7 separate regions of the Mus musculus genome follow, and all the other regions are reported to be linked to region 1. Evidence: microRNA targets listed by miRTarBase, many of them from high-throughput screens and not tested one by one. Region 1 holds a microRNA gene; each other region holds the end of a gene's coding sequence.

Region 1 (4,079 bases):
GGTGAGGCAGATACTTGGCCGGGAGGGGGACAGGGATGGGGGTCCTGAGGCAAGGGGAGTGGCTCAGTACTCATCACTGCCATAGCAATCCAGCCCAAACCCCCTCTACCTCAGGATCTCAGGAAGACCTGGGACGAAGACTGAAGATTCTGAGATGTTGCCTACCATCCTTGCCAGTCATTCTGAAGTGTCACTCGGGGGAAATGGGATGGTGCCAAACTCCAAGACAGAATCTCCTCTCTCAGTTCCAGGATCCTCTTCTGAAGCTGAGAAAAAAAAAAAAAGTCAAAGAACTAGGTGGCAAAATCCAGGGCAGCCTAAACCAGCTGTGTGAGTGCCTGGATGATGCCCTCTGAGGTCCCCCCTCTCCCGCACCCAGAAGTGACTTACGATGTAGACAAATACAACAAAGAGCTCACAGGGTACTGGGAAGCAGAAGAACAGGTTGAAATGGGAGGCTCCAGGATTCTGAGCGTGTGAGATGTCTGGGGATGCAATGTCCGTTCATCATCTTGCGGCTGTCCTGAACGGGACATATGACCGACCCTTCCCTGAAAACAAAACGCATTGATTAGTGTGTGTTACCGTTACTGGAAGGTTACAACACTACAGCAATATATCTGAACCACAAAGGAAAGTGACTTGGTACCAACTACCTACCTTAGACTGGACAATGGGAATAATGAGCAAGAGAACATACCATCCAAAGAATGCCAGTTACACTCATTGACAGGCCACTCAACAAGGAGCCATCCATTCCTCTCATAGTAAGGAAAGGCCCACCTCAAGCTGACTTACACACAAAGGAGGCATCCAGGCTAATATAACTTAAAGGTACAGTGACGTGTTGAGCTTCAAGGAGTGTCGGATGCAGGTCCCAGATTGTACTGTTACTCAAATGTCCCATGGTTCCTCTGGGACAGGCACTTCCCCCTCTGTCTAAACAGCCCTGGGTACTGTCCTCTTGAATTCTAGCTGGCCTTCAAACTCAGGGAACAGTGAGATCCACTCAGACATCTCTCACAGAAATGAAGACTCATTCCCCTCCCAGAAGTCTCAGCAAACATCTCCCTGTGGGCTAAGGTCTCATCTAGGAATCAATAATGTCTGGTCAACTGGTTCCTTTGACACTGTGTTGTGGAGGAGGGAGGAGGGAGCAGGAGCCAACCAACCCAAACCCATTCTCATTAAGAAAGGTCAGAGGACCATTCAAGAAGGGAGATAAACTCACACAACCCAGGCTCACTACATAGACTACTTTCCTAGACTAACATGGCTTCCCTGAAGTCAGTAAGTAGTTGAACCCCCGAAGTCTTCAACGTAGAATAGGATGCTGAAAAAGAAGTGCACCGCGAATGTTTCGTCACATATAAAGCGAAAAACACGCGGGCAACTTCTCATTAAGCACCGTACGTCAGCAGCATGGAACCCTGTGTACCACTTGTGTACCGCTGTCGTCACTTCCTGTGGCTTGAGTACCGCTGTCGTCACTTCCTGTGCGTGAGCAGGCGATCACGCTGCAGCCCCGCTGTACCTAGGGGGCTCTCACAGCTGTGCCCGCTCCACGCAGGCAGAATCAGGATCTTGTAGACAGGCTTTGGATTGGTCATCCTTTGGGGAGGTCTTTGGAGTCTCCTCAAACATCAGAGAATGATATAATAATCCTGACTTTGCTTCCCAAAGTCCAGCTCTGGATCCGTGACAAGAGAGGAGGTGGGTCCCGTGACCTCTCAGTCGAGGTCACCACCCATCTGCTAGAGGGGAGGACATCAACCTATGTTCCACGGTGGAGGCCCTGATGCAAGGAGGTTATCATGAAATGGGAAACAAAAAGATATCTGAGCCTTTGTCAGAACGAGACAATGTCTCCTGGACAAAAATATATGTAAGTGGCATGTGGTGTTCTGAGAACAGATTCTGTTGACCCTCCACTTGCTGGGAAATGGAACATTGAGATTAAAAAAAAAAAAGAACATGAATAAAGATAGACTTCTTAGGTGTTCCAGGTAGATAGTTGGTTGCCTATGCTTGTACACATGTTCTCTCCCTCATGACATGGCTACAGGGCACCTCCCCACCCTTCATTGGCTTGACCAATGAAACATGAGCAGAATCACAGTAGTTCCTAATCTCAGTCGGAGAGTTCCTACTTACTTTCTATGTCTCTGCCATGGCTGCAAGAACCACTTGCCAGGAGCCTGGAGGAGGGGCAAGGAAGCCACCTTCACCCCCAGGGTAGCAATACATCAGGAGGTCGTCCTAGGTATGGAAGGCATACTCAGCATTAGTAAAGAAGGACACACATGAAAATATAATATATTCTTTCAGACAGAACACCATGACATACCTTTTCCATTGATGAGGACTCTGGTGTCCTTCCCTAAGGAGATGTCATATCTGAAATACATCTCCTAGTCAGGTACTTGTGCTGGGAAGCAGCCAATGATTTGAATCCTCAGAAGACAAGCAAAATTGAACAGACATGGAGATGAGCAAGAACAACGAAGCCTATGCCATAAGTGACAGATGTGGGCTTGATGCTGGGCTAGAGAGACCTGTCACTCACCCACCAGGAGAAATGTGCCCCAGCTTGGGATATAGCTTCACATTCAGGGGATCCTCCAGGATGGCGTTGTTTACTGCAAAGATACAGGATCATAAAATGAAAGTCACGCCCATGGTAGCCCCCCCCCAACACACACACACACACACACACACACACTCTCTCTCTTGAACACATATATGTACACACACAAGCAGAAAAAGGATCCCCCTTAAAAGCTAACTCTGCTTGAAATATTTTAGTTTCACGCTGGCCTCAACCCCACCAACATCTTCTTCATAGCTGCCGTGTGCACCAAGGTGTCTTCCCACAGATGGTCTGGGTGTTGGTGGATAGTAAAACGGGTGACCTACAGCATAAATGAAGTGTACGTCACCGGTCTACCATCCACACAGCTACCCCGAGAACAGTGGGCATCATTGTCCCTTCAGTCACGATGCTGGCACGTCCTTATAGCTACTGTGAGGAGGACCTTGCTGAAAAGCCATCACACACCAAGAGTCACCTCACAGTCCAAAGCCATAGGGAGTAGCCTCAGGCCACCACGGGGACCCTGTCCCTTCTTCAAATGACTTTCCTTCCAGGGCTGAGTCCTGATGCCATACTCCCATGTCCCATGTCCCAGAGTCCAGGGAACAGCAGTCCAGGTCCCTTCCCTGAAGGCGTCATCAGGGACAGGGAGTGCCCCCAGGGTGGGATTTGATACTAAAAAAGAGGTTTCCCGTGTATGTTTCATCATAAATAAAGAGAAGACAACACGGACAACCTCTCCTTCAAGTATCAATTAGCACTGGTCAGAAAGCAAACAAAGGCAGCTGGAAAGTGCCAGGTGCCTTGTCAGAAGTGTCTGCTTCTGTGGGCCCTGGAGAGCAACCAAAACCCCTGTGCAATTTGACAGTCCACAGAATTGCCTGAGACTATTTACCAACAACACAGACCACCTGCATTCCTTATCTCTCCAGGTTTAGGGGGGGTCACTGAAGGGAACCAGGGACCCCAGAAATTGTGCCTCAGGAGATAACAGGGGAATAGTAGCTCTCAACTTCAACAAGTACAGTACATTGGGGGTGTTCAGGAATGAGCCTCGGATTCTGGTTCCAAGAGGTAGGTGGGTGATGAGAAGCGACCCAGCCCTCTGGTTGTGAGTCTGGGTAGTTTCCAGGGAAGGTAAGATTCTAAAAGCAGACACATTATAAAGTTAGTAGGAAGGTAAATGTGTGCCAGCACATGTGGTAGTATAAAGAAGCAGCAGGCAGGGGCAGGCAGTTCCACCCCCTGGTCGAGTGGTTCTCAACCTTCCTAGTGCTGTGACCCTTTAATATACTTCCTCATGTTGGGTAATCCCCAACTGTAAAATTATTTTCAATGTTACTTCATAACTGTGATTTTGCTACTGTTATAAATCATAATGTAGATATCTGATATGAAATGCCTATGAAAAGGGCTCATGATTTGCAGATGAGAATTGTGTTCTACCTGGAACCCCACAGAAAGCTCTACTGCTGACCACAACCCT
Region 2 (4,079 bases), not on the chromosome of region 1:
ATTTCAAGTTTATTTTATTGTATGTATGTATGTATGTATGTATGTATGTATGTATGTATGTATGTGTATATATATATACACACATATATAATGAATATTTTCTATATCACCTGATTATATGTGATATATATATTACATTTATTATAAATATGAATTTATAAATAGCTTTCCCTTAATCCTTTTAACCATAAATTCTTATTGTAAAATGGCATATCATGTTTCTTCTCTTCATATATCTTTCTTGAACAAATTGTACATTAAGAATCTGAATGCCATAAAGCATTCCTATCTGAACTGTCCATTATCCCTTAACGATCGTAGTTAGCTTTGTGTTCAACTCTAGGATTAACTAATACTTTACTGAATAAAGCAGACATTTTCTGTTCATGATTTATTGGTGGAACTTTCTTTGGTATTTTTTTTTCCATATATTGTCCTACATAAAATCTTGAACCACTTTGTTAATTTCAGAACTACCCAAACAAAGAAACTGAAAATTGAGAATGGCTGACAGGAAATATGTATGGAATGAGACAGCTTCACATTTTCTAATTTAGAGATGACGCCTTCTTTTCTGCTCACAGAGATTGTTCTTCAATATTTGTTTTTCTTCATATTGTGGCAACTGAGACCTCTTCAGCCTTCATCAGTACACCTGCATGATTCCCACTGTTCTCTATACAAACTGTGGCTAGTTTTTCTTCCAGTGAAATGATTTATTTCTTCCTTTTCATTAATTCTAAGAGCCTTTTAAATTTATTCATTTGGGATTTTCCAGGTATTAAATTGTATCATGTATGAACAATGGTTATCTTTACTTTCTGCCATTTAGGAATTAACTTTAAGAAATTCATATGCTATGGTATCAGCGAGAAAATCTGGAAACTATTAAACAAATAATGAGTTATAACAAGTAATTTTTAATATGATTTTAATAGGAGTATCTTTAATTTTTATTAATAGGTTGATTCTTTTACTTACCAATATTTGTTGAATGCATCTAAGATATTAGATTCTGTGCAATGTCAGACATGCAAGGCAGAATGACACAATCCCTGCTGCCTGAGAAGTTGGTTTTGATTTTGAGGCAAGTAGCCATGCTGTGCAATGTTTATTACCTCATTCAGTTACTTTGATGCCCAAAGCTGGATGAGTGCAACCATCCACCAGCATAGAGAGCTGATAGAATTCCTCCTTAGATTACTGAGAGCTTCTTATTTATTCATTTGAACTTCTAGGCATATTACCCAGTCATGTAGTAATAATGTTGATTTTAGTCTCTCCCCTTCCACTAATTGCTCTTTTGTAAATATTCAAATTTTCAAACCTTTTGTTAGGTTTTGGCAATGTATTTTAGGTGGAATGTTTCAGAAGGGTTCATGACTTTCACCCCATATTATGCTATGTTGAGATGAACGTGGTTGGCTGGAATAGACTACGGTAAATTGCATAAGTATTTCTCACCCTATAAATAGCCAACTGCCATAACTTTTGAAATATTTCTCTAACCGGGCTTTGCTATGAAAGTTTCTGAAGCTAATGCCCAGATCCTTTGCCAAGAAACCCTATCCTCAGAGGGAATATTTCTCCTGCAAAGAAGCAAGGCTGTGAGTGCAGGGCATCTGGACATTGGGTCATTTTAAAGTCAGACATGCACACATTTACGTGTGTGTGCATGTGCATGCACACACACACACACACACACGCACACACACATGCACACACACACAGGTATATGCTTGTTATTGTGGTCTTGTGATAAGAACACAGCTTCACACATAAAAACTTTTCAGATGTGTGGCTCCCAAGAACAGAAAAGGTGGCACTAGGCATGGCAGGGAGTGACACAACAGGGACCCAGTTAGGAGAGCTGTTGCCTTTGATCCTGCAATGCCAGTGCAAAAATTGCCTCCCACTAACTTCTGCCACCCCCATCTCAAAGCACCCAGGTGTCTCTGCCAGCTCTATCAAGAAGTGTAGTGTGGGGAGCAGAGAAAGCCCCCAGTGGATGAAGTCCTGAGTGGGCATGCACTGTTGACATCGGCACAGACATGTCAAGGACCATGGTTTCAGACCTAAAGGGCGACAGCAAAGCTTTCCCTTCTGTTCCATCTATGGATGTTGGCACTGTTTATCAAAAATGTCTACCACAGCTTCCTGCTTGCTGGATGTTCATAGGCTGCAGACCACTCCCCTACAGCGACTTCCTCCTAATTTACCTAAACCTGTCTCCTCGATCCAACTGTACTCCATAAACCCTGCCTCCTTGTTTATTTGGGTGCAATAGACCTGCCTCTCTCTTCAACTCTATGTAATAAACATACTGTGCTTCTGGGTGACAATGCTTCGCCACCCGGGAGCTCACTCCACCAGACTCCACTTCCTTTCTCTGTCCCATTCCCTTCCTGTCCCTCCCGTGTCTGTCTGTCTGTCTGTCTGTCTGTCTGACTGTCTGTCTGTCTGTCATTTCTTCATTTATTTACCAAGTTTGTCAGGGCAAGTGAGCCTGTGTCTAGGAACACAGTACCATAGAAAATATACCCCTCTACACACAGTTTCCTCACAGCTTCCACTCTGAGGAATGAGGGACATTCTGTTTGACAAGAACCATATTTAGTGGGTAGTTCTTTCCCAAATCATTATCCTCTGTCCCTCTGCATTGCAGCCTAAGGAGACAGCTACCCACTGGATGAGCCTGAGACATACTCTGCTCACTTCCTATCCTAAGTGTGGGACAGGATGGTCACTACATTGGGGGTGAGTTAACACTGTCATTGATATATGAGAGTTTGTCATGAGAGTTTTAATCATTTTGGAACAAGGAGAAATGCTAGCTCATCAGACAAAAGCCTGATCGTAGCTACTCAGAACGTTTAAGAGTTTGGTTGGCAGAATCTGGCTGTTGCCTATGGCCTGGTGCAAGGAGATTGGGATAAGAGGTCACTTGGTGGCCCTGACCTATACCCCACAGTATTTTTTTCTTTGGTGTCTGAAAGGACTTGCATGAGGAAGTGTCCTCACAGTATTCAGAACACTCTAGCTTGTGTCACCCACCAGGATCTTCACACAACAGTGGCACCAGACACTCTCATTGCATAGTGGGGGTTGTTTATTGCCTGTGATGATTTAAGCAAGAAATACACACAACACCGGAGCTGTCAGACCCATGAGGTGAACTTTATGAAATGCCTGCCCAGATGTGAGTGGTGGCAGAAACGTCACATGGGTTTTCCTCAAGGTTTCACTTTCTGTTCACTGTTAGTAACATTGGAAGACAATGGAGGTATTTGCCTCAAAGGTCACATGCCCTTCCGTCTGTCTTCTTTCCTCCCTGTCCTGTGTCCACACCCGCCACAGCTACCCCAGGCTTCACCGGACTAACTGTATGTTTATGTCTGCTGGCAGAAAGTGAGGGTCATGTGTGTTGAAGAAACAATGCACATTGCTTTTCCTTACAAAAATGAGATGAAAAAATAAATCTAGACACACTTTTCAAGTGTCACTCTTCTTTAAACTTTATATATAGATAGATAAAGATATGTGTTCTTATTTTTCTTAAGTATACTCTACTTAGAACTTTTAAAAAATAAACTTTCTTTTTGGTACCTCTGGCTTCCTATATATGTCTTGGAAACATTTAAAAAATACATCTTTCTAGAACTCTTCTGTGCAAATAATAAACATAAATAAAATTAACATTTGTTACATAATAATAAAAAGGCCATTTCAAGGATTTCTTTGTCACCACATTTGGCTGTGGCCCTTCGGAGGTGATACTATAAGTAGCCCGTGACTTGTCCCTGGAAGCTGTGCAGGTCCTGCTCTGGCTGTGGTGGGTTGGATAGAAACTCACCATCCTGCTTATCCATCTGTAAACTACTTCCAGACAATTGCAAGACACTTCCCAGCCCACTGGCCAGTGACAGCGAGGAGATCCAATTTAGGGAGCCAAAGCTGGGCAGATGGAAGAGTGACGACAAACGGGCAGTCTGACTAGCACTGGTGGATTGTCTCTTAGAATCCCCAGGACATACTTCTGAAATAGCCCCTCTGGGCATGGAGGACCCTGAGGCCTGAGA
Region 3 (4,079 bases), not on the chromosome of region 1:
GACTTTCAGCCTCTTTCAGGAAGAGCCATTTTTAACAAGTTTCTGTCTGATGCTGGAGAAATGATGGAGGCCAGCTAGGAAATACAGTTGAATAAAGAGGGAAAGAGCCTTCTCCCATCTTGTCAGTAGTCATGCCCACGGCAGTCATGCCCACGGCCACCTGGTTATTAGCAGAAGTAACTGTCTGAGGTTCAGCCAGGTTCTTATTGATATGGATGTAGTGATGATAAAGAGACCCAGAAATATAAGGACCCAGTTAATTCTGACATGTGCATACTTACCAAAAAGACCGAACAATAGGTCTGGAAATCTTGTATAAGTTGCCGACAACTAGGAGCTTCCATTCCCTGAGAGGATTGGTTCTGTGAGCCTGGAAGAACAGTGCTGAGCAGCTACATTACGTTCCCACAGGAAGCTCACACCAGCCTCGGGGCCCCCAGAAGCATAAGAAGACTCCCTGAGCATCACATATAATCAGTTTATTGCCAGGTAAGAAATTCATATTAATATAGTGAATACATATGTTTACAAATAAACATTCTTAGAAAACAAACAAATGTTTTTTTCTTCATTGTAGGAAGTGTTATTGTATCATAAACTCTGCAGTGTGACAAGTGTTAACACAGGTTTACTTGCAGAACATACGGTTACTAAAATATTTGCACATAAAATATGCTCCATTTATACACACACACAAAAAAAAAAATCTGGGGGAGGTTAGATGGGAATTCCAGGCAGAGCCCAAGGCGGATGGAGGTTAAGACTCCAGGAAGGTGAGGGAAGCCAGGATCTGGTCCCATAGAGTTAGAAATTGGGGATCACATGGAAGGAGAAGAAAACAGTTTTATAATCTTACTCTTTCTCTTCAATTATTGTATAGGTCATGTTCTCTTTCAATATTGTAAGGTTTATCTGCCTTCCCAAGAGGAAGGCAAAGAATAAACAGATATTCTCTACTGATTGTCACTCCACAGTTCATCTCCCAAAGTCAAACAGGAAGCAACGAGCAAGCACTGTGCGAGCTGTCTATGACCGAATTACTTGGGAAGTATATGCTACCTGCTAGTGGCCAGACTCTGTCTTGGAAGTCAAAATTACAATTGCAGACCAAGGAGCCACGTCTACTTGGATGAAGTCATCTTCAAAAAGAAGGATGAGTAAGAAATAGACTAAAGATCAAGAAAGACTTTTAAGTTAGAGTTAGATGAAGGGGAAGTGAAGGGAGTGGAGAGGGGAAATTGAGCTGGAAGGAAGGAAAAGATTGCAGAACTTGACCTGAAAAGAACGTTTCAGGTAAGTACTTCTTGAAGTAGGACTGTATGTCACTAGTGCATGCAAATTGTATGTCATGGAGGTAGCATATGGATAGAGGGCACGATCTAACACCAACTTAAAAAAGGGAGGTTTTCTTTTTTTTTCATCTGCTTTCCCCTTCACTGGATTATTCCAAGGACAAACTCTCTATTGTGTACCAGTATCTTTAACTAGACTAAGGTCTTTTTGAGAAACAAGAGAGCAGGCCAGATGTCCACTAGAGTTTTGTCTTTGAGGCCAATATGTTTCCCATAATGTTTATTGTCTGTTCATGGCAATGGATGCTAGTGTTCTATATGTGATAAATACAAAATGCTTCCCTTTTAAAATAACATGGCTTAAAAGCAAATGCATTCAGATACCAAATACTGTGATGATAATCCCCGGATGCTGATGTGTGGCGAGGACATAATTAACTCATGTCAAAGAGAGATGTGCAAGCCAGTAGCTCATACTGCTCTATCGAGAGTGCAGGGCTCTCAACATTTACTCCGACCTCTGTGTTAGCCTCTGCACCTCTTCTTTTTTAGAATCTTATAAAGTTTGGACTTTGCAGAATTTCTTTTGTAAATAAGAACAGAGTACTGTTTTTAAAAAACTGAAAAGGCTTTACTTAAGTCAGATTCCCCATGCTTCAGATGGGACACAGCCCTGGAAAGATCAAAGATATTGCCAAATTCTTCCTACTTGCTTGGAACATGGAAACTATCTGGTATGCTGATGCTGTGATGCCGAGAGCCCAGGCAGCAGAACATCACCACATGGGATGCTCCAATTCTATTTCACTAGATTTTTACACCAAAGAAGCTGTGAGGTTTTAGAAGATTCCTGTAAATTAGCTCAGAGTTCCAGGGGATAGTTGCAGACTCTTCTTTCTAAACAAAACTCTCTTGCCTCTCCATGCACCTGTCTGCCCTTCCACTAAACAAAAGACTTTCAGGGGGACCTTCCTTGTTGGGATCCAATGGCTGTGGCTGATGGAACCAATCTTTAACGCAACTTTGGGAGAGTCCAGGTAAGAAAGGATGGCATGAGGGTGCCCCTGGAGGTAATCTGGTGGGAGGGTGGGAACTGGGGTATTCTTAGGTACCTCTGACATTGTAGCAGCTCCTTCAAAGGGTGTTAATTGTCTGGGCTCACCTACAAAGGAAAGACAACATCACTACTGCAGGAAAACAGGAGGCAGGAAGGTTAAAGGAACAGAGGATGCACTTGGGAAACGAGACCATCACTTGAACAACAGCGACACACTGAAGGCACCACCCACACTTATGACATTTTTCACTCCAAAGCAGTTGAAGTTTGGCAGCAGTGGCAGCGGCACGCTGAAAGGGAAAGAGTGGTGGGGACAGACTGTTCATAGAGGATGGTTTTTGTCTTTGTTCCAGTTCTTGGAGATGACCCGGGAAGTGAAGGCTCCTCTGTGCCTCTCACCTGCTGTTAACTCTCCAACTGCAGGTTCTCTAAGTCCCGGGCAAAACTAATATTTTGTGTGTTCATTTAATGTGTCACTTTAGAAGTTCTTCTTTATTATTCTCTGGACCCCTTGGCCATCATAAAAACCTATCACTGCCAACATCATGGTCTTCCAGGGAGTTCTTTAGAATGTTCTCCCCTTTCCATCATTGACCAAGGGCTTAGAGAAGACTTACTTTGTGAGCTTTTTGCTTTCAGCTTCAATGGTATGCAATGTTCCATCAGTGTGACACTCAGGGTCCATTACTACCTCACACTTTTCACTATTCTGTGTTTGCATCACTTCTTGGGACAAGGAAATGCTTGTGACATGAGCAAATTCCTTCCCAAGCACTCTGGCACACTCCTCTTCGTGTGCCCATCCTTTTTCTTCTACCAGGAAAGACAGAACAGGGGGACCCAATGCGCTCCATGGGCAGTTTGTCTAAATTGTGCTACTTATATATCTGTTAAAATGGATTTCAGTTTTCTCTTGGGGGAAAAGGAAATGAGCCCCCACAATTTGGGCCTGAAGCTGAAAGTTTCCCCTCTATATTGCTGAATGTCCATGCTTCGGTCTCGCTCAGCTGCCTGCGGGAGCATAGTAGGCATGACCCAGGAAAAGCATGACTCCTTATGAGTAGGTCTGTGGTTGGTTCCTGTAGAACACCCGGAGTGTGTGTCTGCTGAGGGGTTGGGAGTGGGGTGTACAGGACCAGGAAGGTGTAAGTGGGATGATATTTTTTGCCTCTTTCAGTTGAGTGTGGTCTCCAGGGTGCTCCCTGAAGTAAAAGCTCAGACAGTCACTTCTGTTTTGCTGTTAGTGATGAAATATGGCTGTGTGGGTGGGAAGTGCTGGGTGCGAGTCCCCAAGGGGTCACAAGAGCCTGACTCAGCTATGCCAAGCTTGCCCTTGTTGCCATAAGCCTGCCGCCGGAGAGACTGGTCACTGGGGTCCCAGGTCTTAAAGTTGGCAGTAGAGTTGTAGGCCAGGGGATGTGGGGGCATCTTGTTGGTGCGAGACTTCTGTCCATTCTGCTGTGCAGGCCCGTGCTCTGGGCTGAAGGCGCGAGGCTCATCTTCCACTCTTACAGGGTGCAAAGGGAGATTTCCCTTGACAGCCAGCTCTGCCAGGTGCCTTCTTTTGGCGTAGAAGTCATCATTGACCTTGTCAGCTGCTCAGTGGGATGTGTTGATGGAGAAGAGAGCAGAAACAGGGGAGAGAGAAGAGAGAGTTAGGGAGTTAGGCAAGCCAACTTGAGAATACTGCAAAAAAAAAAAATAGTTGACAATCCAGACACGACACAATC
Region 4 (4,079 bases), not on the chromosome of region 1:
CAGTTTTCTTAGCTATTGAGTCGTCTCTCCAACCCTAAAAATGACTCTTAATAAGATAATGGCTGCAGGCATAGTAGTAAACTCCCGTGATCCCAGGCCTTGGGAGGTAGAAGCCGGAAGATCAGGAGGCGTTCATGACCATCCTTGGTTGCCTAGCAAGTTTGAGGCCAGCCTGAGCTCTATTAGACCAAAATGGCAGTCAGAAGACATGTTCATACTCAAGAATGGCTATAATGAGTGGCTGCCTCTTATGGGGTTCCATGTTGGCCTGTCCCTACCATGGTGCAGGGCAAGGTCCAAGTTTTGATGCAGTTTTCTTTTTTTTTTTTTCAAAGATTCATTTATTTATTTATTATATGTAAGTATACTGTAGCTGTCTTCAGACACTCCAGAAGAGGGAGTCAGATCTCGTTAAGGATGGTTGTGAGCCACTATGTGGTTGCTGGGATTTGAACCCAGGACCTTTGGAAGAGTAATCAGTGCTCTTAACTGCTGAGTCGTCTTGCCAGCCTCCTTGATGCAGTTTTTTTTTTTTTGCCACAGTAAGATAATTTATCCCTTAAGGATCTAGGCCCTTCCACAGCATTGAGAACACCATGGACAAGGGAGAGTGCCTAGGCCGCAGCCTACTCACAAACTATTCCCCCTGTTCTTTCAGGACCGCTCAGGAAGTGGCAGTGAGGAAGACTGAACCAGACATTCCTGAGTCCTGACCCCGAGGCGCTCGTCCCAGCCAAGATGGAGTAGCCCTTAGCAGTGATGGGTAGCACCAGATGTAGTTTCGAACTTGGAGAACTGTACACATGCAATCTTCCACATTTTTAGGCAGAGAAGTATAGGCCTGTCTGTCGGCCCTGGCCTGGCCTCGAGTCTCTACCAGCATTAACTGTCTAGAGAGGGGACCTCCTGGGAGCACCATCCACCTCCCCAGGCCCCAGTCACTGTAGCTCAGTGGATGCATGCGCGTGCCGGCCGCTCCTTGTACTGTATCTTACTGGACAGGGCCAGCTCTCCAGGAGGCTCACAGGCCCAGCGGGTATGTCAGTGTCACTGGAGTCAGACAGTAATAAATTAAAGCAATGACAAGCCACCACTGGCTCCCTGGACTCCTTGCTGTCAGCAGTGGCTCCGGGGCCACAGAGAAGAAAGAAAGACTTTTAGGAACTGGGTCTAACTTATGGGCAAAGTACTTGCCTTGCCAGGTGTATGGGTTTTGCATTCCCATCACCCACACACCCTAAACAAGCCAAGTCAGTGAGCTTCAAGTTAGAGCCTCCACCTCAATGTGTACGTGGAAAGCAATCAAAGATGATGCCTAGCATCCACCTCTGGCCCTCATGTGCAGATGTACACACACTGAATTACATACACGGGACACACACATCCACACGGAGGCAGTCCATGACTTGCACTGGGGAGATGGTACCATAGGCGAAAGTGCCACAGGCACAGGGCCAGGCTAATTTAGTCCTGCAGTCCTGTGCTCTTAAGATGAAGGCACAAAGAGGAACCCCAGGCGCTCCAACTAGCATGCCAGGCAGTGACAAGACCCTGCTTCAAATGAATCAGAGCCCACATTCAGTATTGCCCTCTTACCCGATGCGATGCCCATGCCCTCACATATGAATGTGTATATATACATACATACGTAAAATAATTCTTTTTTAAATTATAGACATTTTTGTGTGAATGTTTTGCCTGAATGTGTGTGTGTGTGTGTGTGTGTGTGTGTGTGTGTGTGTGTGTGTATCAAGTACATTCCTAGAGCCTACAGAGGTCAAGGGAGGGCATTGGATCTGGAACTGGAGTCACATGAGGCTGTGAGCAACTGTGTGGGTTCCTGGGCCTTTGCAACAGCAGTTAGTACTCTTCACCACTGAGCCATTTCTCCAATCTCAAAAAGAAGCATTCTTTTAAATGAAGACTGAAATAAATAAGTAGGACTTGCCTTGGTTCTGTGCCTATAAGCCCCAGTTCTGCCTGCAGCCCTTTTGCCCTCCAGTTCTCCATTACCGCTCAGTCTTTGGCCATCCGTAGCTACCAGCTGCCTTGGGAGCCACAGTTGTGTGACAGCTCTAAGGCGAAAGGGGAAGTGTTGTACTCCAAGAGAAGTGTTGTACTCCACTCCAGTGGTGGAAGTTTGTCCCAAGGTCTTACAGCTCTGAAGAGAAAGGTCTCCTGGAAGTCTAGAGCCAAGGAATACCACAGAGACACACTGTACAACAAACCCCACAGGAGACTTCCCAGGAGGGAAAGATCCGAGAGTGTGGCAGCAGAGGCAAAGATCTCCGATTTCAAGGCCTGTATAGTGAATTCCAAGATTCATAGGGTTCATAGGCCCTGTCTCAAAATAACAAAAAATTTGTTCTGGGGCCAGGCATATAGTATACACCTTTAATCCCAGGAGGCAAAAGCTGGTGGATTTATTCATTTCTTTATTTTCGGTTTTTCAAGGTAGAGTTTCTCTTGTGTAGCCATGGCTGTCCTGGAACTCTGTGGAGACCAGTAGGCCTTGAACTCACAGAGATCACCTGCCTCTGCCTCTCAAGTGCTGGGATTAAAGTTCTACCAAGGCTGCTTTATATTGTTATGAGACAGTTTCACGTAGGCCAGGGTGACCTTAAACTTGGTATGGAGGTGCAGCTTGCTGTTAACTCATGATGATCCCAAATGCTGAGATTGCAGGCCTGTACCACCTAGCTAGTGCTCTTGAATTTATCTTCCAAGGCCAACCTGGTCTACAGAGTAAGTTTCAAGACAGCCTGGGCTATACAAGAAGGGAATACAGAGAAGCTGTCTTGGGGGAAAAATTAAAGAGTTCTAGGAGTCAGGCGGTGGTGGCGCACACCTTTAATCCCAGCACTTGGGTGGCAGAGGCAGGCAGATTTCTGAGTTCGAGGACAGCCAGGGCTACTCAGAGAAACCCTGTCTCAAAAAAACAAGAAAAAAAAAAAAAAAAAAAAAAAAGAGTTCTAGGGACTGGAGAGCAGTTAAGAGCACTGGGTACTCTTCCAGAGGATCTAAGTTCAATTCCCAGCACCCACACACAGGCTCACAACCATTTGTTCCTCCAGTCCTAGGAGGTTCAGTGCCCACTTCTTGCCTCGGGGTACTGCATGCATATAGCCCACAAGATATACATAGCAAAGCACATAAACTAAACATGAGTTCTACAGTCAGGCGGAGTGATGCATGCTTCCAGTCCCTGCAGGGGTGGGAAGATCTCTGCATTCAATAGTAGCTTAGTGTACATAGCAAGTACTGCATGATGAGAACTTGTCTCCAAATTCAAAAAAGTGTCCTGGGGACCAGAGAGCTAGCCTAGCAGTTACAGGTACTTGCTGCCAAGCCTGACAGGCTGAGTTTGCTTTGCAGAGTCCAGGTGGAGGAAGGAGAGATTCCACTCCCTCAGGTTGAATCTCTCTGGTGTCAGGTGTGCTATGCCTTTATGCCAGTTTCCTAGACCACCACAATTCAAAACACGTTTATTCATTATTATTTTATGTATATGAGTTAGCCTAGGAGTTCTTGAACTCTAAACACAGTTTTTTTAATGGAATGTAGTAAAATGTGGGTCTTGGGTTGGTTGGAGAGATGGCTCAGTAGCTAAGTACATTTGCTGTTCCTGCAGAGGACCCAGATTTGGTTTGCAGAGCTCACATGGCAGCTCACAGCACCAGGCACGCGCACATGGTACATGCAGGCTAACTCATATACGTAAAATAAAAATGACTAAATGGGCTTTGAATTGTAGTCCGGGCAGCAAGCTGTGTAAAGGCATAGAACGCACAGCCTGCCCAGTTGGTGAAGGCAACAATCCACTCCCATAAGTTTCTCCCCTTCACATATGAGCCCCCTACACACATTAAATACATCCATACATATGTGCATACATGTAAAAGTGAGCCCTTCACAGGGAAGGCAAAACAGACCAGAGTGGTTATTCATTATAAAGAGCAGCAAAGTCCAAAATCACCCCAACAGGCTCTATGTGACCTTTCGTCTCTTCTGTCAGAAGTATAGAGCAGATGGAAACCGTGGTGCAACCCTTTAATCCCAGCACTCAGGAGGCAGGCACA
Region 5 (4,079 bases), not on the chromosome of region 1:
TAAAGAGCCTCTCAGTCACTCCTGGGCTGAAGATACAGCTCAGTTAGTAAAACATTTCTGTAGCATAGTCAAGGCATTAGGTTTGGTCCCCGGTATTGAAAAAAAACATCCCCAACATGTATGTACATACACACACACACACACACACACAAACTTGGCTAACCAAGTGTTTCCTGTAAGTCCTTTATCACTTATGTCAGTTATACACCAAATGACCCCAGACCCAACAGCCAGTGATATCCACTATCGGGGAATTCGTTTAGTAATTCCAACTCCCAGGCACTAACCCAGACCAATAGAATATTCAAGTCTGGATGTGGAGCCTAGCAAGTTGCTTGTAACAAGATTCTGGTAACTGCTAGGCTACTACCTGCCTGCTCACCAAAGGCCAGTGCTCCAGAGATAAATGTTGCACCCTGACTAGGTGGGAGGAGTTCTCTTCCCCATCAAGAGCCACTTTAGGAGCCTGAGGTACAAGTATAGATGAAGTGCAGCAGGGCCACGGGCAGGCAAGCACACTTTGAGTGGTCTGTCATCCCAGGTGGGTTTTCCTTTCTTCCTTGTCAGTAACAAACAACTTGAACTTCTTGATGTAGTTCCCATAAACTTGTTTAGACAGATGACTTACTTTTCTCCAATAAGGGCATCATCTAATCTAACAACTACCAGATATCCTGGGTTATGTAAATTAAAAAAATCTTTGGGAGTGACATGTTATTAAACCGCAGTTTTCTTACAAACTGGAATGCCAGTAAAAGGGAGATTCACAAATGGGAGTACACAGCCTCAGGGCAAGGATGTGAGGTTCCTTGACAGCTTAACAGATCTCTTATCTCCTCTACTCCCAGCCCCATGAAAAGCTGGAGTGGACACCAGAAAGAAAATGAGTATTTCTTATGCTTTGTACACTCTGAAGTAGAGGTAACTACTTAATGATGTACGTAACTAGCTCCAGCCATTCTCTCACCCAGTCAATGAGACTTTAAGTGTGTGGATGTATATACATAGGTGATTTATGACTGACAGCTATCATTACAATCAAACTTTCCATTCCCAGGTCACATTTGTAGAATTACTAAGGTAGAGGTTATTTCAGCTAAATCACATCTCACTACCATCAAGAAGAAATATGCTGCCTTTGGACTTACCGTGGAGGAGGGGCTGTTTACAGCACAGAGGTTAGATGTCCTCCATGCTCTGACTAGCTGATTAGAGCAAAACACACTTCTAGGCCTTTAGTCTGGCGCTGATTCTCATTTCAATCCTTTATGACAAGTTTTGTTAAAGAGTTACAGCACACTTCAGCACATTGCACATGAAATACATTTTGCTTGGGTCCCCTTCTCCAAATGTAATCAACACAGGGCCTTCAAAAGCTCTCCTCCCTCCCTCCCATTTTTCCACATCAGTTTTAAGACTACTTTCAAGTGAGCTCCTCAATGGCCACCTTTTCACTGAAGACAACACATGCTAAACAGAAATTAAAACTTTACATTTAGGTCTAATTTGTTGTTGGCTTACTCAACATATAAAATGTGGTCTAGTGATAAACACTTTGTAAGCCTGATCTTAATATTAACAAACTGAGTGATATAAAACTATGTGATGTTACCATTTAATACCACAATTACCAAAAGTATTACTTGAGCTGATCTCTTTAAAAACAATTGGAAAAACATGTTTAAAATAAATAGACACTTCTAAAAAAAATACCACTTCCAATTTTTGCCAATAATATTTACAAAATACAAGTAACTTGTGTCTTGGCCTTCTTAGCTAGCTCTTGGGTTAGGAAGTATGTATTAACAATCTTTTATCTTAATTAATGAGCCCTGTTTACCACAGTCACAAAAGTGCATGAAGTATCTCCAAATTGATAATTAAAAAAATGTAAGAGGGCTGGAGATGGCTTAGAGCACTCTGCTCTTTCTGGGGACCTAGGTCTGATTTTCAGCACCCATATGGCAGCTCACAACCAACTCTACCCATCTTCTGGGTTTTGGGAGGGGGCATCAGGCACGCACATGGTACACAGACATGCATACAAACAAAACACCCATACACATAAAATAACACATAATTTTAAAGTTTACTTTAAAACGTAAATTATCTCCCAGTATTTAACAGGTAAAGAAAATAGCAATATTGATTTTACGTGGTTGTTATTTTTATTTTCCAAGTAATACTGATTAAAAATATTTACACAACTACTTTTAAGTCCACAGTTTAGCACTCTTATTTGTATGGCTTTAAAAGTTATAGCACAAAATCTTTACATTAAGAATTGGGGGGAAAAGATTCCACTCAAAACAAAAGCCTGATATATTATATACATGTACATATCCTCTGTACTTTATTTTAAATACATTAATTTAAAAATGATGCTCACCTAATATTTTTTCCATCTGGTGGTAAAATACTAGTGCAACTTCTCATCAAAATAAAGTTTACCACAGATGGAAGTGAACTTTTCCAATTGAAAATGGCCCTTCAGCTGCCGTTAAATGAAAAAATTTCAATGTAACTTAAAGGAAAAAGAATTGGTAGTTGTCATTTTAGCAAAAAATACCAAGTACCAGAGCACTTTAAAACACAAACTTTGAAAGAACCAGAGGTGTTTTTCTGAAGTTTTGTTGGCTTTGAAAAGGCACAGGGTGGTTTTTTTTTTTTTGTTTTGTTTTTGTTTTTTAACATTCTAGAAATTCTGCCACCACCGTTTCTGTTGTGGGGACAACATTTGTAGCCACTGGATAGACAAGAATGTTGTTCAAAATAAAGCCAGCCCCCAACTATTAACTGCACGTAACAATGCACTTCCCTCATGCAGCCTTGTGTTGCCTACATACTCAACTTTTTAACATGCATTAGAATACAAATGTACGTATTCTAATGGTTTTAAGTATGATTTTATAATATGCAAAGAATTTAAGGAAAGACATGACCTGGGGAAGAGGATACAGAGACCCTTACCACAATGAAAATAGATGCATTCGTACCCAACTATATAATAAGAATATAATTCATTTAAGTTAACAGAAATATACTTCTCAAAGCTTCCACTCATTATGAGGAATATTCCCACTCTGTGGCATTAACTGGAAGGACATCAGCCTGTTTCCATAGAAACAGTTCAGCACAACAGAAATAGTTTAACTTTGGTCCACTTATTTGATAGCTTAAGGTCACACTGCCCATCAGTTTACCACAAATGTAAATTTAAAAATATAACTGTTATTTCATTCTAAAACCGGCAGAGATGTCCTGTCATTCTCTGTTTTTCTAGCTTGGGAATACTCGCTTGGTTTGGTCTCTAACCCCTCAGCATCTTCGTGTTCTTCCATGGCAGCATCTGCATGGTTAGGCTCTCTCTCCTCTTGGCTCATGATTTCAGGGGTCATGTGATCCAAGTCAGCTTCTAGAAGCTCAGTCTGTACTTCAACTGGCATCTGATTTACCCGTTCAACGTGAAGCTCTTCAACATGTACTTCAGTGCCTTCTTCAGTCTGAATTCGGCCCACTTCCAGATAACTCACTTGGACCTGCTCTGGAAGCCCGGTCATTTGTGAATCATGCACTTGGCTGTCCTGGAGCAGATCTGGATGAACTTGTTCCACAGTTACTTGTGCGGAATCCACTTGGACCTGAAGCAGTGGCAACACATGCACTTTCCCAACTTGCTCTATAATAGTCATTGATGTCACTGGCTCGGTTTGTAAATGTGTTTCTACTGAAAGGACTTCTTCAGTTACTATACGCTCTGAAATATTGTGAGCATCACTAAGATGCCTCCGTAATTCATTTCCTTGCATAAACCACAAGTCACACAGAGTACAATGGTTGGGTTTATCTCCAGTGTGTATTACCAAGTGATCTTTGAACTGGTCCCAGCTGTTAAATACACTGTTACAGACCTGAAATCACCAAATATAGTATGTCAATAATAACTATAATCATACCAAAGTAAATGTGAATACACTTATTCCCCATAAAATACACAGACTGGTTGAAGTTAGCTCAGTAGTATCTGCCTAGCAATCACAAGGCCCTGTACTGGTTCTAATCCTAAGTGTCAACAAATA
Region 6 (4,000 bases), not on the chromosome of region 1:
GATCGATACAAGATAGAAAACAGAGCGTGTGAAAATAGCTTTGATCTACTAGCAAAAATAGATTTATGCTGATGTTGGTATTAAAAATAAAGACATTCGAATAAATTCTGACCAAACACTGTAGCCTGTATTTCTAACTAAGATCACGAGAGCAACTTAGAGCCCTGGCTGGTAGCTCGAGGGTGTGAGGACAGTATCTAATAGCTACAGTCCCTCAGAGAGAGTGTGTGGTGTGCACAGTAGGCCTACATTAAGAAGCAAAGTAGCCCTCACCTCTATTTTTGGCTTGACTTCTTTAAGGGTAGACTGAAACAATGCATCATAAATCTGACAAATACAAAGGAAGACAGTGCTAGAAGGCTGAGCAAATGATTTATTGGAAGTAATTAAAAATAGGATATGAGGAAAACAGAAGCCTAAGTGGAGTTAACATTTAAAAAACTCAGTTTGTGTAGTTTTCCATCAGGAAGCCCCCAGAGGCACTGGAAGGCTTGGGGATTGCTGAGGCATTCTTGCTACTTAGTAGGTAATTGTATTTATGACCTAGAGTGAACCCCCATCTGTTTAGTACAAGAACCCTCCTGAGACTGTTGAATGGCAAGCTGTTTAGTTAATACCAGGCTCCCCCTAGTGTCTCAAAAAGCACACTGCATTCCATCTCTTTAGTTAGTACCTGACCCCTGGTGTCTGGGATGTGAACTGCCAATGTTTAGTTAGTACCAGGAGCATCCTAGCATCAAGATGTGAACTGCAGGAAGAAGCTGCACTGAGGCTTTTATTACGACAGGGCCTGTGGAGGGAACTACACTACTCCTTTGCCACACTGAAGATACTCATTCCTTAACGATACCTTGCAGATCGGGGTTGTGAGTACTGAGAAGGTGCAGTTTGTGGTTAGCACAAGGTCCTGCTACTGGGAGAACATCTGTGACTTACCATAAACTTGAAATAGGATAATTAGAATGAAAGGGGCTGAAACATGCACATCAAATGGTGCAGCGATTGGCATTGTGTACTGGAGTAAGTCAGGAGTTCAGAAAGATTAAACTTTACTTAATTCTTCTCGAAACAATACCACAGTTCTGTTTTCCTTATGGAAACATCCAAGTTCTAGACACACAAACTCGGAGGAAGAGTGTGTGAGACAGAACGAGAGGAATGTAGCAGCCTCCTCCCTCCAGCAGGGAGTTTTAAGATTCACATAGCAGCATGCACCTCCTGACCATCTACATTCCGAAAGCCCTTCATCCAGACACGGGCAGTGACTTACAGAGCTTGCACATGGTTCTGGAACATATTTTTGTTCATGCTTCTCCCTGATCCAAATAAGATGACTACAGAGGAGACATTTGGGTCAGCTGTAGGTGTGGATCCAAATTAAAGCTTGAAGTCAACAGAAATTATACCACGAGATACTTTAAGAATGTTCAAACAACTGGCTGTACTGATTCTGGGGATACATTCTCGATTTTGTGGGATTTTTTTTTTTTTTTTGTCATTTTCCTTCTCCTTTGGGGCGGCCTCTCGAGCAGGCCTACTTCACAGTCAGTATTGCTGAAATCCCACGTGTCCTCTCGGGTTTGTTTCCCTGCCGAGATCCCTGCTTACATCTCCAGCCTGTGGTCAGATGTGGATAGCGCTTGAAAAGGAAAAAAAACAAAACAGGAACTAAAGAATCGCCGCACCACCCAGCTGCTTAGAAATGGAAATGAGATTCATGCTGCGTTCATCTTGGTGTCTCCACAACATGGAAAAAAAATGAACCAATATTTAATGAGTTGCTTAAAATGACAGTCACTTGTAGACTCCAAAGACTACTGATTCACCTTCAACACTCCACTTGTGAAAACTTCAGCAGTGCAGTTGGTTATCTGGTGTGACACAGGTCAACTCTGGGAGTTGGCTCTTTCCTTCTATCTTTTAGATAGGTCCTGGAGACTGGACCCAGTGCCAGGTTCACACAATAAGTGCCTGTGCCTGCCGAGCCGATCTCACTGGCCTCCCAAATTCGTTCTATAGAAATCTCTTTACCCTATCATTACACGCAATGTTTCATAGAACTGCTACAGACATCCGAGTCAAAGGCTTAACAATCAGACTTTGGTTTTAATGTGCTCTGGGCAGAAGTCAGAGTTGTTTTGATAACACAATTCAGCTACTGTGCACATTCTATTATCATGATTTAAAGTAAGACACTTATAAGAACAACAGTTTCCCTTTGGTAGCTCCTGTCTGAGACAGATGCAGAACTCAGAGTATTACAAATAAGAAGAGAGTCAAGGAAAGAGGTAAACCCTTGCAGCTTTCTCAAGAGGACGACATAGAAGAACAGCAATGTTTGTCTATAAGGCAGATGGTCAAACTGGCTATACAAGGTCAAAAGGGCGGTGCTCGGTAAGAGGTAGAGAGTACCAAAGCCGTGTGGAGGAACAACGCTGGGTTATTTAAAGCCACCAGTGACTTCGCTGAAGTTTAGAAGGTCACACTGCCGTGGGCTGTTACTGTTTATACTAAATGAGAGACATTTCATCCTCAATAGGGGCCAAAAAGAGGGCTTGCAAGCCAGGGGTGGAGCAGGAAGCTGAAAGTAGTTTCTTAAATTTTTAAGGATTCAGCTCTTACTGAGGACAAACGAAACGTCTGCTGCCTCCCTAGGACACCATTGGGACACTGAATTAATGGAGTCTTCTCTGATGAAGGCAACGTCTCTAGGCAAGCTGGGGGCAGTTTTATACACAAGGCAACAGAAGTAAAGGGAGGGAAGTTTGCACTTCTGGTTGCTTGATGCCCACCTTATATAAAGAATATGCATCTCACTAACTTTATACAGATTTCTTAACCAGGAAAATGCAAATGAAAACATTCTTGGTACTTCAGCACCGGCAGAATTGTTCTGTATGAGCAATCGAAGAGCTGTCTGAGGCGAAAAGATATCCCAGCTACCAATTAACCCTGGGTAGCTATGCATGGGTGAGTATCCCTGGGTGTTATTATTTCTTAACGCATCTGGGACAATTTTTTTCCAGTGTGATTTTATAAGGCATAAATTTGAAATTTCCCCCTTACCTCTGGAAAATTAGTGTTAAATGTTTTTTTTTTTGTAACCCACACATTAACATTCAATCTTTCATTTTTATTAAATAGTTTATATATATAAAAAGAAATACCGAGGTGTTCTACATTCATATAAACAATCATGATAACACTTGAAATTTTAAAGAGACTTACTGAAGAAAATATATACTTCAGCGCTTACAATGCTACGCTAAGCACAAGTGATCATTCTAGATGCTATCTTTTAAACATACAGACAGCTGTGCGCTGCTTCCGGAAGCAAATGTGGGCAAAGTTACAGGAAATCTCCTTCTCTTTTACATTTCACCATAAGACGGGATGGTCCAACTTGGAAAAGCCAAGGTCTTTCCTCAGTTCCAGGTAGGTCCCATTGCTTACCCAAGCATCGTCACTGGATTTCCTGTGAGAGATGAGACGAGACAGCTTCTCTTAGAGTCCGCTATGACCTCCTCTCTCCCCCTCCTTCCTTTGCTTGCCCACCATCACTCCAGAGAAATTCATTGTTCTTGTTTGGGTATTTGAGTGGTGTCCAAAGACTGACAAACATTTTTTATTTCTGATATATACTTAAGCCTGGAAGTTGGGAAGGTGGTGCTTCTAAAAGGATGCCCCCTCTGTATGTGTGTGTGTGTGTCCCCATCCACCCTCTCTCTGTATGCTGTACATCAAACAAGACTGGACTGATAGCCACCACACTGGGAACAACTAAATACTACCCAATCAACCAGGCTGATCGAGGTCAGTCTAAGTTAGCATAAAGCCAAATAGAATGAACAAAAAGGAACTGGACCGTAACAGTCATGAGAGAACTTTTGGTTTAGGGCTCTGGGAAAAGATCATCTCCTACATAGATAGAAATTCAAAGGGCACAAAAGGATCCAGAGCCTACCATTTTCTGGTTAGCCCTACCTCCCAGCCTCACGTC
Region 7 (4,079 bases), not on the chromosome of region 1:
GCTGTAAGAAAATGTGTCCTTCCATTGCCCATCATAAACACTGGAGGGAAAGCGTGTGGGTTTGAAAGAATCTCAATAGCCTGGTGGAATCTAACCTGTCTGCTTGCTTGTTTTGAGACGGGATCTGGCTGTGTTGCCCAGGCTGGTATTGAACTTCTGGGCTCAAATGATCCTTCCGCCTCAGCCTCCTGAGTACCCTGAGATAAATCATCCTAAACGTTTTGAGCCACACATTCTACATCAGAACTTACCCTGGCAGTGGATAACTTTGTTTCCACTATTCATCTTTAAATACCACTATTTAGCGGTTGTTCTAAACGTTATAGTCTGAGCAGCTGCAGCTGCCTTTCATAATCATTGCTGAGTGCCTCTTACTGCAAGCAGGGATGGCTCTTCAGTAGCAGGGAGCACTGAGCCAGCTCAGGGGCAAGGGTAGGCAGCAGGCAAGCTAGGCGGAGTGAGGAGGTGTGGGCACTCACGCTTGCTTCACTGTCTTTGCAGCTGAGCCTCTGCCGCTGATGGACCTGTGCCGGCGATCCATCCGCTCAGCCCTGGGCCGACAGCGCCTGCGTGACATCGGCTCCCTGCCCCTGCCTCAGTCTCTGAAAAACTACCTGCAGTACCAGTGAGCGGCGCTGAGGATCGGCTGTCATCTGTGGTCACACAGCTCCAGAGCGTCAGGACACATCAGTGACTTGGAAAAGGAATGCCTGTTGCCATTGCTGCCACCGACCAGGACCAGGAGGCCACCTCGTGAACCAGAGTGTAGAGACCATTATCTTCCTCAAGAGAATGAATAAAACATTGGGCAGGAGACGGCATCCAGTTAGTTCCCCACTGCAGACAGACCCAGGAAAATTGGCCAGTGGAGAGAAAATGGGTTCTGAATAATGAATGACAGAAGCCAGCCCTTGATGGTCTCCTCCACGCCTGCCCCTGGCCAGGGCAGAGAGACTGTCCTCCATTTTAAGACTTGGTACCACTTTGAGAGATGAGTCCAGGGTCCCACAGCAGGGCAAAAGCACCTGGCCTTACCTCTCTGAGCCGGTTTCCTCATCCCCTCCTGCCCTCTTCCGTCATGGATAAAGTTCTTTGGCCATTCCCCTCCCCACTTTATTCAGGGACATGAATCTGATGACTTGCCCTGGGGACAGAGTTTCTTCTTGGGTATGATCATTGTAAGTAGTGTTTGCATTTTTTTTTTTTGAAAGAGGAGTGTGGTGAAGGTGGCTTTCTCCCAAAGGTGCTAAGGAAGATGGGGCCCTCGTGACACCAAGTCTGAGACACCCTGAGTATCCAGGGCTCTGGCAGCCATCATTCAGGGTGAAGCCTGGCTGTCACAAAGCTTTCTTTGAGCAAATTATTTTTTCACTGTAGGAGACTTCCAGTTTGTTTCTCGTTTCCAATATGTGTGTGATGCACCGTTTATTTATCAGCTGGGGCCCCGCGGTGTGGCCTTGGGACTGCAAAGGTGGGTATAACAGTCTCTGCAGGACCTGAGACCTATCCTCTCACAGAATGTTGCTGCTGCTGCTGCTGCTGCCGCCAGCGCCACCATTTGGCATCTTTTGTGTGTTCCAAGATACCCTCCACCCAGACTCAGTTTTAACTGGAAATCATCACAGAGTAGGATACAGAGCCAGACAGTGCAGCCTACACTGTAATGTGAATGTGACCTACAAGCAAGGAACATTTCTAATAAAAGTTTGTCATTCTGTCCTTCAGCTGTGTGTAAAGTGCTCTATCCATCATCCTCCCTGGTCTGTCCCCAGATCCACAGACATCAAACCTGGGAGTGCCTCTCTGTACACACACACACACACACACACACACAAACGTCCACATTCGAACCCCAACCACAGAGATGTAGAGACCCGATCTGGAAGACACTCTGTCCCCAGGATCTTCAAAGACTCCTATAAGCCCTGATGCTGAAGCCTTAGATGTTCAAGGTGACCAGAGTCAGTCAGGGTAAACCCAAGACCTGGCTCTGGGGCTGAATGCAGTTGGCCACCAGGGAGCAGTGCTGGTTGCTGCAGAGCAAATGAGGCAGAGTTAAGCTGAGCTCTGCTGGGGCTGGTAGCAGGTTAGCAGTTAGGGACAGGAAGGGGACTATGTCAGGACCAGTACAGGATTCACTTAGCAGCATCAGCCACCCATATACCACACCACACCAGACTCTAGGGCAGTGTCAGACTGATGTCTCTGTCCTGGGTGGGGACATTTACAGTTTGTTGTAAGACCTTGAGGAACTCAGCAGGAGGAGGAGGGGAGGGGAAGAGACAATTTCTTGTGATCAGAAGAGCGAATATGAGACACACGTTGTCTGCCCACCCTGAGGCTGGAGACAGGATAGGAATGGCGTCTCCAGGCTGCAGGCTCTAAGCACCTGCCTGGCCACTGACTGACTCAGCTGCCAAAGCGTTCAGTTGTTGTGGTTGCTAAAAGCAGCTTCCGGGAGAGGCACAAGCTTGGGCACTGGTCGGGAAGCCTGGGTTGGGGTTCAGGCTTCCTTGTTTATACACAGTCACCTTGGGTAAGTCACTTTCCCCTCTGGGCACAAGGAGCTTGACCAGGTAGCCAGTGACTGACTAAGGACCGTCCCTCTCCCAGCCTCTAGGGTCCAAGTTTCAGCACCACTTTCCATTTTGGAAGAAGCCCTTTTGTCTCAGCTCCTAAGCTTCGTGGCTTCTCTCATTCTAACAGTGCCTTCCCTCCCTCACTTCACCCTCTCATGATTAATGAGATCAGCCTTCATCTAGACACCCCATAACCACCCACCAGTGTCTTCCTGCTCTGAGCTATCAGTTCTGAGCATGTATCTCCCGGCACCAAGGACCCTATTCTGAGCACTTGTATTGGGTCCTATCTGCCCTTAGCCTCATGGATCCAGCAGGCTGTGGGTCTCTGGAGGGCTGGGCCGGTGCCTATACCTACAACAGCCTCGTAGGTCAGACACATCAGCTCTGCAAAGGCCTGTAGAGGAGCGGGACAGATAGAATGTCCTCTGCAAACTGGGACACCCAGAGGAAACTGCAAGGGAAGAGCTCAAGTAGCTCAAGTAGGGATGAGGTCCTCCCAGAGCTGAGGACCGACCCCTAAGTTCTCCTAAGCTCCCTGTCCTCTCGTGACCATACCTACAGCACTATCCTGAAATGACTGAGTCCTGGCCCAGCTTTGCCAGACCTCACAGTCTAAGGGGGAGATAAAGATGGCCCCCAAGCAAAGAAGCAGCATGGTGTTCGAGGGGATGATGGGGTGAGGTGGGGGCTAGGAGTCAGGCTACAGAAAGCCACTGGGGAGTTAGGTACTGAGTCCTGACAAGGAGCTAGACAGGTGAGAGGAGGCAGAACATTCATACACATGCTTTAAAAAACAAACAAACAAACAAAAAACTTGAAAAAATGTTGGATACAGCAGCAATGGATAGGAGACAAAACCACATCCAGCTATCTTTCCATAAACTACAATCGTTGTCTGTTAGCTGTCCTGTGTGAAGTATCCTGGGGTGCTGCTTCTGCACATCTCCCTGTCCATGATGGCCTCAGGCCCAGAGGAGAGCACCCTAGCCTGCTATGCTGTGGCTGGAGGCAGCTCCCTGGTTCTAACAGGCTCCAGGCCAGCACTGTGGCCCTGGCCTTTCCATCATGGCTGCTAAACAGAGCCCAGGCTAGATCAACAGTCTCTATCTCCAATGCATTTTCTTTTAGGGAAGAAAGGTACACATATTCTGAGGGGATAAGTGTGCAGCCTAAGACAATCGCATCCTCCTTCACCTGCACGGTGTTATTCTTCCTGTCTTCGGTGAAGTGTTGCTCAGGCGTTGAGCTTACAAGGAATGTCCTACACATAATCACCTACAAAATTCATGCTCCAGGATCATACAACTGGGGGGGTTTTATATAGTAAAAACACAATGTTTAAGTAAGTTCTCACATTTGTGTTGGGCCACATTCATAACTGCCTTTGGTCACATGTGGCCTGCAGTCTGCAGGCTGGACACGCATGGGACACACGCGGGAGTCTAGAGCACCATTGGCACAGCGTTTGCTTTCTGAGAACTTTGACTCTAAGGACTC

The links. Region 1 holds the annotated microRNA mmu-miR-543-3p (AAACAUUCGCGGUGCACUUCUU, at 1,340-1,361, opposite strand). A microRNA usually pairs through its seed, bases 2 to 8, with sites in the 3' UTR of a target mRNA and lowers its output. Matches are read on the target gene's strand: a 7mer-m8 pairs with bases 2 to 8, a 7mer-A1 pairs with bases 2 to 7 and ends in A, and an 8mer does both.
Region 2: the mRNA of Atp10a is a reported target of mmu-miR-543-3p. Seed matches in the 3' UTR shown: 7mer-A1 at 3,694-3,700 and 7mer-A1 at 3,263-3,269.
Region 3: the mRNA of Shisa9 is a reported target of mmu-miR-543-3p. Seed matches in the 3' UTR shown: 7mer-m8 at 535-541.
Region 4: miRTarBase lists Smarca4 as a target of mmu-miR-543-3p. Seed matches in the 3' UTR shown: 7mer-m8 at 1,688-1,694.
Region 5: the mRNA of Zfp131 is a reported target of mmu-miR-543-3p. Seed matches in the 3' UTR shown: 8mer at 2,689-2,696.
Region 6: the mRNA of Osbpl3 is a reported target of mmu-miR-543-3p. Seed matches in the 3' UTR shown: 8mer at 3,114-3,121, 7mer-m8 at 2,859-2,865 and 7mer-A1 at 428-434.
Region 7: the mRNA of Spsb4 is a reported target of mmu-miR-543-3p. Seed matches in the 3' UTR shown: 7mer-m8 at 1,517-1,523.

What each region holds. Positions count from the first base shown.
Region 1 is chr12:109,714,586-109,718,664 of GRCm38, reverse strand. Mir543 (microRNA 543) reads right to left here and starts at 1,407; the gene lies at 1,332-1,407. Mir494 (microRNA 494) reads right to left here and starts at 3,347; the gene lies at 3,263-3,347. Mir679 (microRNA 679) reads right to left here and starts at 3,088; the gene lies at 3,015-3,088. It overlaps Mir1193 (microRNA 1193), which reads right to left and starts at 2,994; the gene lies at 2,874-2,994. It also overlaps Mir666.
Region 2 is chr7:58,828,435-58,832,513 of GRCm38, reverse strand. It overlaps Atp10a (ATPase, class V, type 10A), which reads right to left. Exons shown (of 21, transcript NM_009728.2): 21 at 3,088-4,079. The coding sequence ends at 3,777. Among named protein-coding and RNA genes, the nearest start is that of Gm39019, 99 kb to the right of the region's middle.
Region 3 is chr16:12,267,289-12,271,367 of GRCm38, reverse strand. Shisa9 (shisa family member 9) reads right to left here. Exons shown (of 5, transcript NM_028277.2): 5 at 464-3,944. The coding sequence ends at 3,565. Among named protein-coding and RNA genes, the nearest start is that of Shisa9, 290 kb to the right of the region's middle.
Region 4 is chr9:21,702,278-21,706,356 of GRCm38, forward strand. It overlaps Smarca4 (SWI/SNF related, matrix associated, actin dependent regulator of chromatin, subfamily a, member 4), which reads left to right. Exons shown (of 34, transcript NM_001174078.1): 34 at 659-1,953. The coding sequence ends at 691. Among named protein-coding and RNA genes, the nearest start is that of Gm26511, 19 kb to the right of the region's middle.
Region 5 is chr13:119,763,116-119,767,194 of GRCm38, forward strand. Zfp131 (zinc finger protein 131) reads right to left here. Exons shown (of 8, transcript NM_001302548.1): 8 at 2,071-3,911. The coding sequence ends at 3,237. The region is part of intron 1 of Gm41077 (predicted gene, 41077); the gene reads left to right. Among named protein-coding and RNA genes, the nearest start is that of Nim1k, 9.3 kb to the left of the region's middle.
Region 6 is chr6:50,293,687-50,297,686 of GRCm38, forward strand. It overlaps Osbpl3 (oxysterol binding protein-like 3), which reads right to left. Exons shown (of 24, transcript NM_001347213.1): 24 at 1-3,475. The coding sequence ends at 3,379. Among named protein-coding and RNA genes, the nearest start is that of Gsdme, 34 kb to the left of the region's middle.
Region 7 is chr9:96,941,127-96,945,205 of GRCm38, reverse strand. It overlaps Spsb4 (splA/ryanodine receptor domain and SOCS box containing 4), which reads left to right. Exons shown (of 3, transcript NM_145134.3): 3 at 502-1,724. The coding sequence ends at 629. Among named protein-coding and RNA genes, the nearest start is that of Gm51657, 46 kb to the right of the region's middle.